Saccharomyces cerevisiae S288C: one gene and its partners. The gene in region 2 interacts genetically with the main gene of each other region. Each region holds a gene or a part of one and is shown on either strand. Other genes may lie near its edges.

The links.
Region 1: mutations in SEC63 (region 2) and NUR1 together harm fitness more than expected from each alone (negative genetic interaction), as found in Saccharomyces cerevisiae (2 studies listed by BioGRID).
Region 3: mutations in SEC63 (region 2) and YET1 impair growth when combined (synthetic growth defect), as found in Saccharomyces cerevisiae (2 studies listed by BioGRID, with this or other methods).

Annotation. Positions count from the first base shown.
Region 1 is NC_001136.10:294,449-298,915, forward strand, and holds NUR1 (Nur1p), read left to right. Parts: upstream 1-2,371; coding exon 2,372-3,826; downstream 3,827-4,467. Other genes in the region: clathrin-mediated endocytosis regulator UBX3, read right to left, coding at 1-311; RAM1 (protein farnesyltransferase), read right to left, coding at 586-1,881; FG-nucleoporin ASM4, read right to left, coding at 3,969-4,467. UniProt on the Saccharomyces cerevisiae protein: Member of a perinuclear network that controls recombination at multiple loci to maintain genome stability. Required for rDNA repeat stability.
Region 2 is NC_001147.6:804,053-808,999, reverse strand, and holds SEC63 (protein-transporting protein SEC63), read left to right. Parts: upstream 1-1,976; coding exon 1,977-3,968; downstream 3,969-4,947. Other genes in the region: TRE2 (putative zinc metalloprotease), read left to right, coding at 1-746; OSW1 (Osw1p), read right to left, coding at 893-1,729; peptide alpha-N-acetyltransferase subunit NAT5, read right to left, coding at 4,093-4,623; TMA16 (Tma16p), read right to left, coding at 4,797-4,947. UniProt on the Saccharomyces cerevisiae protein: Acts as a component of the Sec62/63 complex which is involved in SRP-independent post-translational translocation across the endoplasmic reticulum (ER) and functions together with the Sec61 complex and KAR2 in a channel-forming translocon complex.
Region 3 is NC_001143.9:315,796-319,112, forward strand, and holds YET1 (Yet1p), read right to left. Parts: upstream 1,263-3,317; coding exon 642-1,262; downstream 1-641. Other genes in the region: DPC7 (Dpc7p), read left to right, coding at 159-380; putative Mg(2+) transporter MNR2, read left to right, coding at 1,969-3,317. UniProt on the Saccharomyces cerevisiae protein: May play a role in anterograde transport of membrane proteins from the endoplasmic reticulum to the Golgi.

The DNA of each region.
Region 1 (4,467 bases), on a different chromosome or scaffold from region 2:
TGGGAACTGTGGTCTAGTAAACGGTTGTGCTTCCTCTGGTAGAATCCGTGAAGTCTTAATAGAGGTTTTAAAAGACGTGAACTTCGGACAATGAAATTCAATAAATAATAAAGAACTATTAGGGGAGCTTGAAATAAAAAATGGAGTATTGATTTTAAGCGTCCATCCCGGCTCTGTGTGGGTTCATTTGTATTGCTGTTTTGATCTTCTGTCCTTCCATTCAAATCAGCAGGTGGTTCTTCTCTAAAAGCACCTGGGATTCGAATAAAGGAATCATCATTATTTCCAAAAGTATGCCTAAATATATCCATGTTTAAAGGGTATGTTTAAATCGCAGTCAAGCCGATTGATGAGGTACAACAAAATTTGGGAGTACGATTGCCCGCTGTTTTTGAACTTACTCTCACTTTTTGCTTCGTATGTAATTAAGCAAGGATGTGTTACAATAAGATTTCGCTTTGTTATTATCGTTTTAAAAGCGGTCGCCGAAGTGTCGAATAAAGGACAATGATAACGTAAAGAGAAAGAAATTGGAAAGAGACTGACCGCTAAGGAGATTGAATACATATATATAATAGTATGTGGTTAACTTGGAGAAGATAAATTGGATTTAAAGTAGTGGATAATTTTTCTTACATTTTCTATTGGTAAACCATAGACAGGGTTGACATCAGTAAGTTTCGATGATCCAATTAGGCGGTCTGGAGTACACTTAATATTATGTGGAGAATCATTAGGAGTGCAACTGTATGAACTTTCCGCAACAGCCAGTCCTAATAGGCAATAATTTGTATGGTAAAAGTCTGAGTGGGCCCCTGGTTTATCTCTCAAACCAGGTTGCTCTTTTTCTTGGCAACAGTACAATATGTAGTCCCGAAGAGCATGTTTGTTGAAGCATTGGCCATATCCAAAAGCTTCAAGAATGGCAGCCGAACCTCCAACCCAAAAACTATAGCAACCGTCAACAAGTTTGTTGCTCCTTCCGCAAAATCCTCGTTCTTCTTGCAATTGACGAGCACTAGACCATTCTAAAAGCTTTTCAACATTTATTTGGTCCATGGACCTTAAAATTGCTAGACTAGCTGTAGCACAGAAAGTATAGCCTCCGTGTGCCTCATCTACGTGAGGACAACTGCCGAATCCACCTTCATAATTTTGACAATTTTTCAAATAGTTTAACACACCTTCTGTAAGCTCTTCTGTAAGAATATTTAATAAGGTTGCTATGCTCAAGGCACAGTATATACCTCTTGTATCCACTTCTCCGACTTCTAAACAGGTCTTGAATCCTCCATTAGGCTCTTTCAACGATATCAGCCATTGGTAAATTCCTTTTCGATCAATTCTGTCCCAGCATCCATCTATGTTATCGCAAAGGGAGAGAGCATTAATTGCAGCATAAGTGCTGGCCAAATGAGATAATTGGCCAGGACCTCCACCAAAGGGTCCTCCTGAAGGACTAATAGTAAAGAGCTTATCTACAATTTTTCTTTTGGTGTCATCTGAAAGCCAGTCTCTGTCCATTACCTTCAATGAGTTAGCAATCCAATATAGCATCCACGGTTGTGAAGCATCTAGTGCTGTCATTTGTGGAGGTAACGATATCTCAAAAGCGACATCCAAGTACATTTTGTGAAACTCTTTCGTGAGAGCAGGTTCTATATTCTTTTCATCATCGTATATCTCTAATACACTTTGTAGTACTTTGTATCGTGCTTCTGTAGTGTCGGTTTCTAGTTCCTTCATCAATGGTTGGATTGCTTTACTTGAATCTACATGCGCTATATCGACGACTCTTTCCATAACTGGTCTCTTTCTTCCTAATAAGGCAGTATTTATAAATTTAGCCCTAGCTATGGACCTTCCTACTCTCTGTCGCATACGCTTTGATTGCCTATAGCTTTACAAGCACTGCAGTTGTTTCTGCATAAGAACGGCGATGATATGGACCCTTGCTTGGTTTATCCTAGCCACTTTCGCGTGTTTCAGTTTCAAGCTTTCCTAATCAGGCAACAGCTTATACGAAAAGATTAATAAGTTACAATGTTAAACAGTTTCGCTTCAAGACCTCTAACGTTAGCCAGAAATAATAAGAATAGGTGGATTAAGTTACAAGTGTTTTTGTCCTCCTACTTAATCAGAACAGAGCACGGGAATAGTGATCTCTTTCAATAGCGAAAGGAGGGAAAAATAGCCCTGCAATATATAAAGGAAGAAGTTAACACCGTATTAAAAGGGGTGAGGCCGTTGGGACAAGTGGTAGTTTCCTTAAAGTCTGGTTTGATTGACAATATTTAGAAGTTAGTGAAACGAACAACCTAAAAAACTTTGTTGTGCAGTAGAGAGCTTTACATTTACCTTCGGCAGTAAAATGGGTTCAAATGATTTGATAAATGAAGCATATGACGACTCGGAAGTAGTTGGTGAGGAAAGAGAATCAAAATCTGCATGGATGAAGAGGTGGTATCAGCTACTTACTTCTCCTTTAGACTTGCAGTTGGTAATAAATGAAAAGTTAGAAATGATCAACTGGGATGCTTATGCTAAAAGTCTAGCTAAGCCATTAGGGAATTTTTTAACAATACTTTTTTTTATCATAAGACTCTTGCAGGACAATTTGATCAAGCCCAACTATTACAAACTAAACGTCAAGTCTGGCGCTTTCGATCTTTCTAAATCCAATAAATTAAAAGAGTTTGATTATCTATGGGAGATATCATCCAGCTTTCAAAACAATAATCAATTTTATGCATTTCAATCTTGGTATTTTGTTACCTTAAGGTTTTTGAATAATCTTTTCAGGTTTACTATTTTCATACTGCTGTCCCTGAACCTGTACGTAAGCTGTAAATTCATGTTTGGATACTTTAAGACTTACAATCTCTTCCATTTGAAAAAAGAGTTCAACTCCCCAAACCTCACTAAACACAACTTGAAGGATCTAAGCAAAGAATACTATGAAGATATTTATAAGCAGTCCTTGTGGTCTATGTTGAAGCATTTTTTCAGAGGATCTCGTGATGACGGTCCTCATGTTAATCAAAATGAAGATGAGATATTTTTTCAGTTAAGAAAATGGATCCCCACTAACTTCATGATTAATCTTTTTGTGTCTTTTTCACCAACGGCAATTGTTTTTTTAAGCTTTTCTGATGTTTCGTTTACTTCAGCAATTGCTATAGTATTCCATCAATATATTCTGGATTATATCATAACTAAGAGATTTCAAAGAAGCGTGGACGACGACTTGATTTTATCAAGTGCAGCTTTGCAAGAATATGAGGACAAGCATATAATGGCACGAATTAACCAATGCAGCAATATAGATACTCTATCATCTGCAATGGGTACTAGATCTAAAACACCGAGAATATTCACCACTCACTCCCTATGTGGCGAAGAAATCAGAGAGGTTTATAATTATGAAAAAAGGGAATTTGAGGCATTACCGAAAATGACAGAAAGTGTGCCAGGATCCCGTGAAACCAGAATAAAGGATTATGGAGGCATTTCTCAAGTATCTGACCATCAAAGTCATCCCATTGGTTTTCATTATTCTCCTAGAATGTCCCCATATTATAGGGATAAAGTTTTGGATAACAATTTGGCTCAATCATCGTCAAATGAAAATTTAGAGAAGGGCGGAGCTTACCTGCCGAATCAAGACCAAAATAGACCATCGAAATCCCTGAGCCCATTGAGAAAAACGCCTTTAAGCGCACGACAGAAAAGGTTTGAAGGCTCAGAGTTCAATGTATTGAATAAGAATGATATTAATTCCATTCTTCGCTCTCCAAAGAAAAAGAAGAACTATCACAAAAGATAACGTTTCTTAATTATGTCTAAGTATATACAGTTACGTAAAAATCAATAAACAAAAGTAAAACAATGCTGTTTGAAAAGTTATCAAAATAATAAATGTATGAAGTATTGTAAATGTTCATGAATAATTAGCTGGACGATTTCTGTTATAGGTCATTCCAACCAAATAACCAATTACTCAGTTTGTGCGTAAAACCAGCAGGTTCATTATTTCTGTATTTCGCTTCTTGCTGACGCATTTTCGATTCTAGGTTTCGCAACAGATTAGGAATATTCGAATTCGGTCCTGCATTTTGCATGAATGGCAATTTGCCATCTATTACATCCAGCCGCTTATTCGGAGAATTTGCTACTATTGGACTTGAAATATTTGTTGGATTACCAGCATGACCGGCAGGAGTATTATCGTCTTCCCTCAGAAGAGTGCCATCAGTTATTATTACGTTTGGTGGGGATGGTGTATTAGATGTCGACGATGTGGAGGAATTTTGATACATAGAAACGTTGAATTCTCCAATGTCGTCGACATTATCAATTTTGCAGCCAGCTAATTGCTCCACCGCATTTTTTGAATATGGGATGCAACCAATCAAAGAACCGCGAAATATGGTTCCATTTTCCTGCAGTGCTCTCAAAGCAGAAGAT
Region 2 (4,947 bases):
ATATATCTGTGGATAATGTACAGCACTATGGTGACTGGACTCCATTTCTGGCAAATGGAATTCCTGTATCTGTAATATCTTCTGATTCTACGAGAAACCGTGACACCCCAACTGAAACATCTGAGGATAAATTTGAACGTGTTGAGAAGATTCTGGAAGACGAACAGAACCAACAATCTGTCAAGGATTTGCTAGTATATCTTTTACATATTAGTATGGAATTGATTGATGACCCGCTACTTCATTTTGACATAATAAGCTATGTTGAAGATATCGATGAAAGATTGCAAAGGTTAGAGCAAGCATACCCTGAAAAACTAAACTTCACATCAATAATCAAAGGTTTGTTATTTTGGAAGAAAATCGGTAGCGAATGGGCGTCATGGACTCAAGGTTGGGAGAACATAGTATGGTCGCATGGGGATGGTATAGAGCCCTCCTTACTTTCAATTAATAGGTGGACATGGAATAAAAAATTGACTAATATTGGTAGAAGAACATGCTCTCCGGCGGGTCTACCTAATAGATCATTTTATAAGAACGTTTTGTTCGGACCAACATTGATACAGGAGGATAAATCTAAAAATGGTGGAAATGTAGATTTCTGGACATTTCCAGGAGTGATGGATGCGATTTACGATGATGACTGGAAGAGGGCTCAAGAACAAATTGACCTTATTGGCAAAGTACTCCATCAGTCTGCTGCATTGTTTGTCGAAGAGACTAATGACATCGGGTATAAATAAATTGAACTGAAAGAATACATATTGTAAGTATAAGGAAGTATGTTAATAAAATTTTTTCTTTAATTATGTAATACATGGCATGCAAGCATTTCTTCTTTTTGGGATGCTTTTCCTCTTAGTATCCTATGTTTGTATATATCTTTTTGTTAAATGACACGAGAGAAGGAGACAATAGGATAATTTTGAAATTTCTGTATCACAATCGTATCTAGTTTCTTCTCTACACCTTTGTTTTGACGCGATGTTTCCTCTTCAAAAAGCTTCCCAAGCAACTTAGATTTTCCAATCTCCTGATTATTTCGTTTTTCTTTAGAAGATTTTTTAGAATGCCTGTGCAAAGAGTGATAATCTTTAACTCTCAGGGAATGGTCGTCACAAAATCTGATATATACCGAAGAGACTTCTTCTTCTACATCCTCTTCAAGAACACTAGGCCTAGTCTGCATCTTATTACTCCTACCCCCTAATTTGTCACTTCTTATAGTATTTTTATCGTGAAATATTATTTTAACATCAGCATGGTTTGCTGTGACTTTCTTGATCTTTCTAACGGTTTCTGCGCACTGTTGGTGTTCAACTTTGTGGATGCTTCCGTCTTTTCTCTTTAAATTATTGCCAAAAATTTCATTGTGATAGAACCTTAGGGCATATTTTCTTTTGCTTAATTTTAAACGAGACAAATTGTTCCTTTGCAGTACATATACCCTTGGTGATTCTTGGCAACCCTTGGGAAACCTTGCAATCAGTAGTGGTTTCTTTTTGGAACTTCCTGGACATAGTCCAGACGGTTCATTTATCATGTCCTCAATGTGTATTTCGGAGAGGGGGCTCAAGTTCCAGCGAGTATTATATTGGTGAATGTGAAGTTTGTGGACATGCCACCTCCTCTTTAATTTCCGGCCACTGAACAGTTGACACAGTCGAAAATATAGGTAAAAAAAATGACCAGATTTGGACTTTCTCGGTGAAGGTGGTGCTCTCATGCTTCTTTTCTATTTTGAGTTATTAACGTCTTAGCTTTATAATGTCACAATCTGACTTCATTACTGACACAATCGCTCTTATAACGCGAATTGGTCACTCGTTACGGAAAGGCGTTTTCTGAAAAATTTGTCTTGAACACGTCGAAGATCACTGAACGAATAAAAGATGCGACTGGAACAATAGTCAGTTATAATTGACCAAAGAAGGCCTTCGCAACAAAATAAATATACTGCATATTACAGCACAATGCCTACAAATTACGAGTATGATGAGGCTAGTGAGACGTGGCCGTCCTTCATTTTAACGGGGCTCTTGATGGTCGTCGGGCCTATGACACTGCTTCAAATATACCAAATTTTTTTTGGGGCCAATGCTGAAGATGGGAATTCAGGGAAGAGTAAGGAGTTTAATGAGGAAGTTTTCAAGAACTTGAATGAAGAATACACCAGTGATGAAATCAAACAATTTAGAAGGAAGTTTGATAAAAATAGTAATAAGAAGTCCAAAATATGGAGCAGGAGAAATATTATAATTATTGTGGGTTGGATCTTAGTTGCAATTCTTCTGCAAAGGATTAATAGTAATGACGCGATTAAAGACGCTGCTACAAAATTATTTGATCCTTATGAAATCCTTGGTATCTCTACTAGTGCTTCCGATAGAGACATCAAATCTGCTTATAGAAAATTATCTGTTAAATTTCATCCAGATAAATTAGCAAAGGGCCTAACACCTGATGAGAAAAGTGTGATGGAAGAAACTTATGTTCAGATTACGAAGGCTTACGAATCCCTTACTGACGAATTGGTTAGGCAAAACTATTTGAAATACGGTCATCCAGATGGCCCACAATCTACTTCACATGGTATCGCTCTACCAAGATTTTTGGTAGATGGAAGTGCATCTCCATTATTAGTGGTTTGTTATGTTGCGCTACTAGGTTTAATCTTGCCATATTTTGTTAGTAGATGGTGGGCAAGAACACAATCGTATACTAAGAAGGGAATACATAATGTGACGGCTTCTAATTTTGTTAGTAACTTAGTCAATTACAAGCCATCTGAGATTGTCACCACAGATTTGATCTTACACTGGTTATCATTTGCTCATGAATTTAAACAATTCTTCCCGGATTTGCAACCAACGGATTTTGAAAAACTTTTGCAAGATCATATTAACCGCAGAGATAGTGGTAAACTTAACAATGCGAAATTTAGAATAGTGGCCAAATGTCACTCTTTGTTACACGGTTTATTGGATATTGCTTGTGGATTCAGAAATTTAGATATTGCATTGGGTGCAATCAATACTTTCAAGTGTATTGTTCAGGCTGTACCATTAACACCAAACTGTCAAATCCTTCAATTGCCGAACGTAGATAAAGAGCACTTTATTACCAAAACCGGAGATATTCATACATTAGGTAAATTGTTTACTTTAGAAGATGCCAAGATTGGTGAGGTTCTTGGAATAAAGGATCAAGCAAAGTTAAACGAAACTTTGAGAGTTGCATCGCATATTCCAAATCTAAAGATCATCAAGGCAGACTTCCTTGTCCCAGGTGAGAACCAAGTAACACCATCATCTACCCCATACATTTCTTTGAAAGTACTGGTTCGTTCTGCTAAACAGCCATTGATACCAACTAGCTTAATTCCTGAAGAAAATTTAACAGAACCTCAAGATTTTGAATCTCAAAGAGATCCATTTGCTATGATGAGTAAACAGCCACTCGTCCCATATTCCTTTGCACCATTTTTCCCTACAAAGAGACGTGGGAGTTGGTGCTGTCTGGTAAGTTCTCAAAAAGATGGTAAAATACTTCAAACGCCAATTATCATTGAAAAGCTATCTTACAAGAACTTGAACGATGACAAAGATTTCTTTGATAAGAGGATAAAAATGGATTTAACCAAACACGAAAAATTCGATATAAATGATTGGGAAATCGGGACCATAAAAATTCCATTAGGTCAGCCTGCACCTGAAACTGTTGGTGATTTCTTTTTTAGAGTAATCGTTAAATCCACAGATTATTTCACTACAGATTTGGATATTACCATGAATATGAAAGTTCGTGATTCTCCTGCAGTGGAACAAGTAGAGGTGTATTCTGAGGAGGATGATGAGTACTCTACTGATGACGACGAAACCGAAAGTGATGATGAAAGTGATGCTAGCGATTATACTGATATCGATACGGATACAGAAGCTGAAGATGATGAATCACCAGAATAGATATAAGTGATTAGTATAGTTTTTCATTTTAGCTCTTAGACGTATATATTTCATCTTTATAAAAATAGATACATGTGTATACAAAGCAAAACCAAAAAAAAAAAAAAAATTTTTCAGCCATCTGTTAAGAAATGTGTTTTTTCAATAAGATAGCATCTTGTTCGTCGCCATTTACACCTTTTATGAAATTGTTGACAGTTTCGCCCACTTGTTCGAAGCCATGAGCTATAAACCATTGCTTTGTAAGATCATCCACTGCTGGTAAATAGACAAACACGTTATGTTGATGACATTCTGAGCATTTGTCTTCTGCAAACTTCAGTAATTTTGAACCGATGGATTTGTGCCTATAATTAGGCAACACGCCCAAAAATTCGATTTGAATGCCCTTGAGAGATAGTTCGTTTTGTTTTTTAGGAACTAATTTAGCAACCAAACCACCCACTGGTATTTCACTGTAATAAGCCATCTGTGTGAAATGTACATCCTTCTTCGAAGATGGCTTTTTATTTTTTGCAACTAAGCTATCCTCAGCGAATAATGCACTGAAGAAGGCATCTTGATATAAGTTTGGTACTGTCACATGAGCTAGTTTGGTTAGCATGCCCAAATTGTTAGCGTAAACATTGTCTAATGTGCATATATCACGGCCCATATTTCGCACTACTCCCTTCAATTGTCTTTGCCAATTTGTTTGTTACGGATTAATTTGTGAAAAAGCTTCGCTAATAATATCAATTTTCTTTTTTTTCTTTGCTTTTTCTACTATAATATACATAAAATTATATAAAGAGCATATAAACCATAAAGATTCCTCTGCGACACTTCTTATTCATTTCCTCCAACGACTTGTTCACCTTTATCATTAATTCTGATCAATCTTAGAGTATTCAAAAGGCCAAAAGTGCCATTCCAGTTTCTTAGAAATTCCATATTCTTCGCATCACTCAAGTCTGGACAGAGAAACCCCGCCTTAAAT
Region 3 (3,317 bases), on a different chromosome or scaffold from region 2:
ATAAATTTGGCAATATGCAGGGATCCCAAATTGAAATTTCTGGCGGAATGTATATATTAGACTTGCAGCTGAGTTTTATCGCGTACACTATTCTAGGGACTTTGGACCTAACTCTGACAACAAAAACTCAAGTAAAAAAAAGCTTACATTTTTAAATGATGAGATCTAATATTTTGAAATTATTACAACGGACAAGTAGGAGATATGTATCCTCAAAGGATTTTGAGCCTGTGATAGGGTCTAATCCTAAGAAACAAACATCTAGACTAATGGTCGGTTCTGTGGGTGTTATGATTCCAGTTCTACTTTATTTGTTTTATAAGAACGATAGCAAACATAGTGAAATTAAAAAGATATACCAAAATGAGAAAAAAATTTAAAAAGTTGTTATATAAGGGTTTTCGTATATAACACAGAATGGTAAACCGAGTCACGAAGCTCAATCTTTTTTTTTTATGTCTTTCTCTAACGTTTTTTCGTCTATATTCAAAAAAAATAAAGTTGGTAACATATAATGCATATATTCATTTGATCTAATCGCTTGCTTTTTATTTCAGTAGCATTTTCGTATTGCGTCGCGACCAGAGAAGTATGAGCACCAGAGGTAACACGTATATACATTTATACATAAATATATCTATTTAGTTTCCTTTCTTGGAAGCTTCAGCAGCTGCTACATTTCCAGGTTGATTCTTCTCATCAAAATATTTCTCCAGGTTTTTGACTTGCTTTTGTAGGCCCTCCAGAGAAATTTGCTTTTTCCTTAGTTCCTCTTGAAGTTTGGTGGAATCAGCTTCATTTGAGTCTTTCTTGCTGTTTGAGGAAGGTTTGTTCAATTTTTGCTTTTCTTGTTCGTTGATTAAGCCTTGGTATTTCACCAGTCTCTTGACAATAGACATGACAGTTGGGATACAGATAGAAAAGTACAATATGAACCCGGAAATATACATATTTCTTTGATTGTACGCTCTTGATGCTAGTGCCTGTATTGGAGTTACAGCAGATGACCCGATTGAGCCACTGTTGTCGTTGTGGTATAATGAAACACGAATTTGAGACCTTTTCCATGAATCAATAAACAACAGGCCAACAAGACAACCCGTTATAAAGATTATAGTTTTTATTTGCTGCTTCGCTGTCAATTGGTTATAGGTGCTAAAAATACCCCTACGGATCCGGAATGGCAAAGGCAAAACGAAGATGAAGAGCATTACCATCTCAACAGTGAGCAATAAAAATAATGTCGTAAAGTATAAACTCATCGCAATATTATTTATTCTTCTCGGTTTTCAGTACTTGCCACTTTGCGAAAGGATAGCAGAAAGGAGCGTTGCAATGAACGAATAGCTTTAAACCAGAAACTATACAAGGTCCCACTTGGCATATATTTCTATTTTTGCACTGCGCCAGAGGGTTTAGTAGCGCCCCCTTTATGTTAACGTATCCTGTGATATAGCATGCAGCTGCGGGTTACATGTAAATTGTTCAGGGCATAAGCAGTACGTATCGAGGAGGTAAAAGACGTTGCAAGTAGGTAGATAGTACAATATAGATAAGCCCAACAGTTTGCGTACGCCTTAAAAGTAGTGGTGTTCTGCGTTTATGTTCTCTCCCTTCTTTTCTATCTAGGTTTTTATGGCGCACTTAAAATATTCTGCTGCTTCAACGGGCGGCGATCTACGGAGAAATTTTTGGCATAAAGTCAAACTTAGAAAGAGCACATAAGCCATAACTTCTTTTTGATATGTGAAACCTAGCCCAGGTTGTCGTTAGTAGTACCTGGCCCTTTAAATATATTTTTGTACTATCGTATACTTGTATAACTATTCATCATTTTCTGGTTTGGTAGTCCGCATTTTTTCATTTGATGACTAAGTTGTACGTATTGCTACACTGAGTTTATCCCCTTACTTCGACAGTAAATTGAGAGAATAAAAGTGAGAAGTGTAGAGAAGAAAAAGATTAAAAATGAGCACTGATAACTCACAAAAGGATGAAGGTGTTCCTTTGCTTTCCCCTTACTCTAGTAGCCCTCAACTAAGGAAAAAGAAGCGCAATCAAAAAAGAAGAAAGGACAAGTTTGTTGGTCACTTGAAGTCAGACTCACGTAGGCCAACGCAACTGCTGCATGATAATCTGCAACACAATCACGGCCAGATTACTGATTTCGACCAGATCGATTCCTGGGGCATGCTGCATGAATCTGATTCTACAAGTAATGATATAATAAAAAGTGAGGATCCATCGCTCAAGGGCGCGTTCATTGATCATAGACCTTCAATGAGCCAACCTAGGGAGGGGCCTCAAAGTGTATCAAGCACAGTTCAACCACAGCCAATAATGAAGTTTTCAACACCAAGTTACAAGAAACCCGCAGGGTTAAGACCCTCTGATCAGAATAGATCATTAGTATCGGACTTATCCCCTTCAGAGCTTGAATCATGGCTGAAGAGAAGGAAATCTGTTCATAAGAGTTTTGTTGACGAAAACTCCCCCACCGATAGGAGACAATCGAACGCGAATAATGATGTCGTGATTGATGTTGATGCGTTAATGAACCATGTTAACAACAATGCAAGTACTGGGGTTAATGATAACAGCAAGAGAAGAAAGAAAAAGAGGGGTTCTGATGATAGTAGCAACAAAAATTCCAAATCCACATCCAGTGATTCAAACGATGAAGAGGATGAGTATAACTCAAGGCCATCTTCTAGTCTTTCTTCAAATAACTCTTCTTTGGATGACGTTTGTTTAGTGCTTGATGATGAGGGTAGCGAAGTGCCAAAAGCTTGGCCTGATTGTACTGTTTTGGAAGAATTTTCCAAGGAAGAAACAGAGAGACTAAGAAGTCAAGCTATTCAAGATGCTGAAGCTTTCCACTTCCAATACGATGAAGATGAGGAAGATGGAACATCAAATGAAGATGGAATTCTTTTTTCAAAGCCAATCGTAACTAATATTGATGTCCCTGAATTGGGAAACAGAAGGGTAAACGAAACAGAGAATTTGAAGAACGGCCGTTTAAGGCCAAAAAGAATTGCGCCATGGCATTTGATTCAACGTCCAATGGTCCTTGGGTCCAATTCAACCAAGGACTCAAAATCAAGAATTCAAAGCGGATTACAAGATAACTTACTAGTCGGCAGAAATATTCAATATCCTCCGCATATTATTTCTAATAACCCAGAACATTTCAGGTTCACTTATTTTAGGGTGGATTTGGACTCTACTGTTCATTCTCCGACAATATCTGGTTTACTGCAACCTGGTCAAAAATTTCAAGATTTATTTGTCGCTTCTATATACTCCCAAGATAA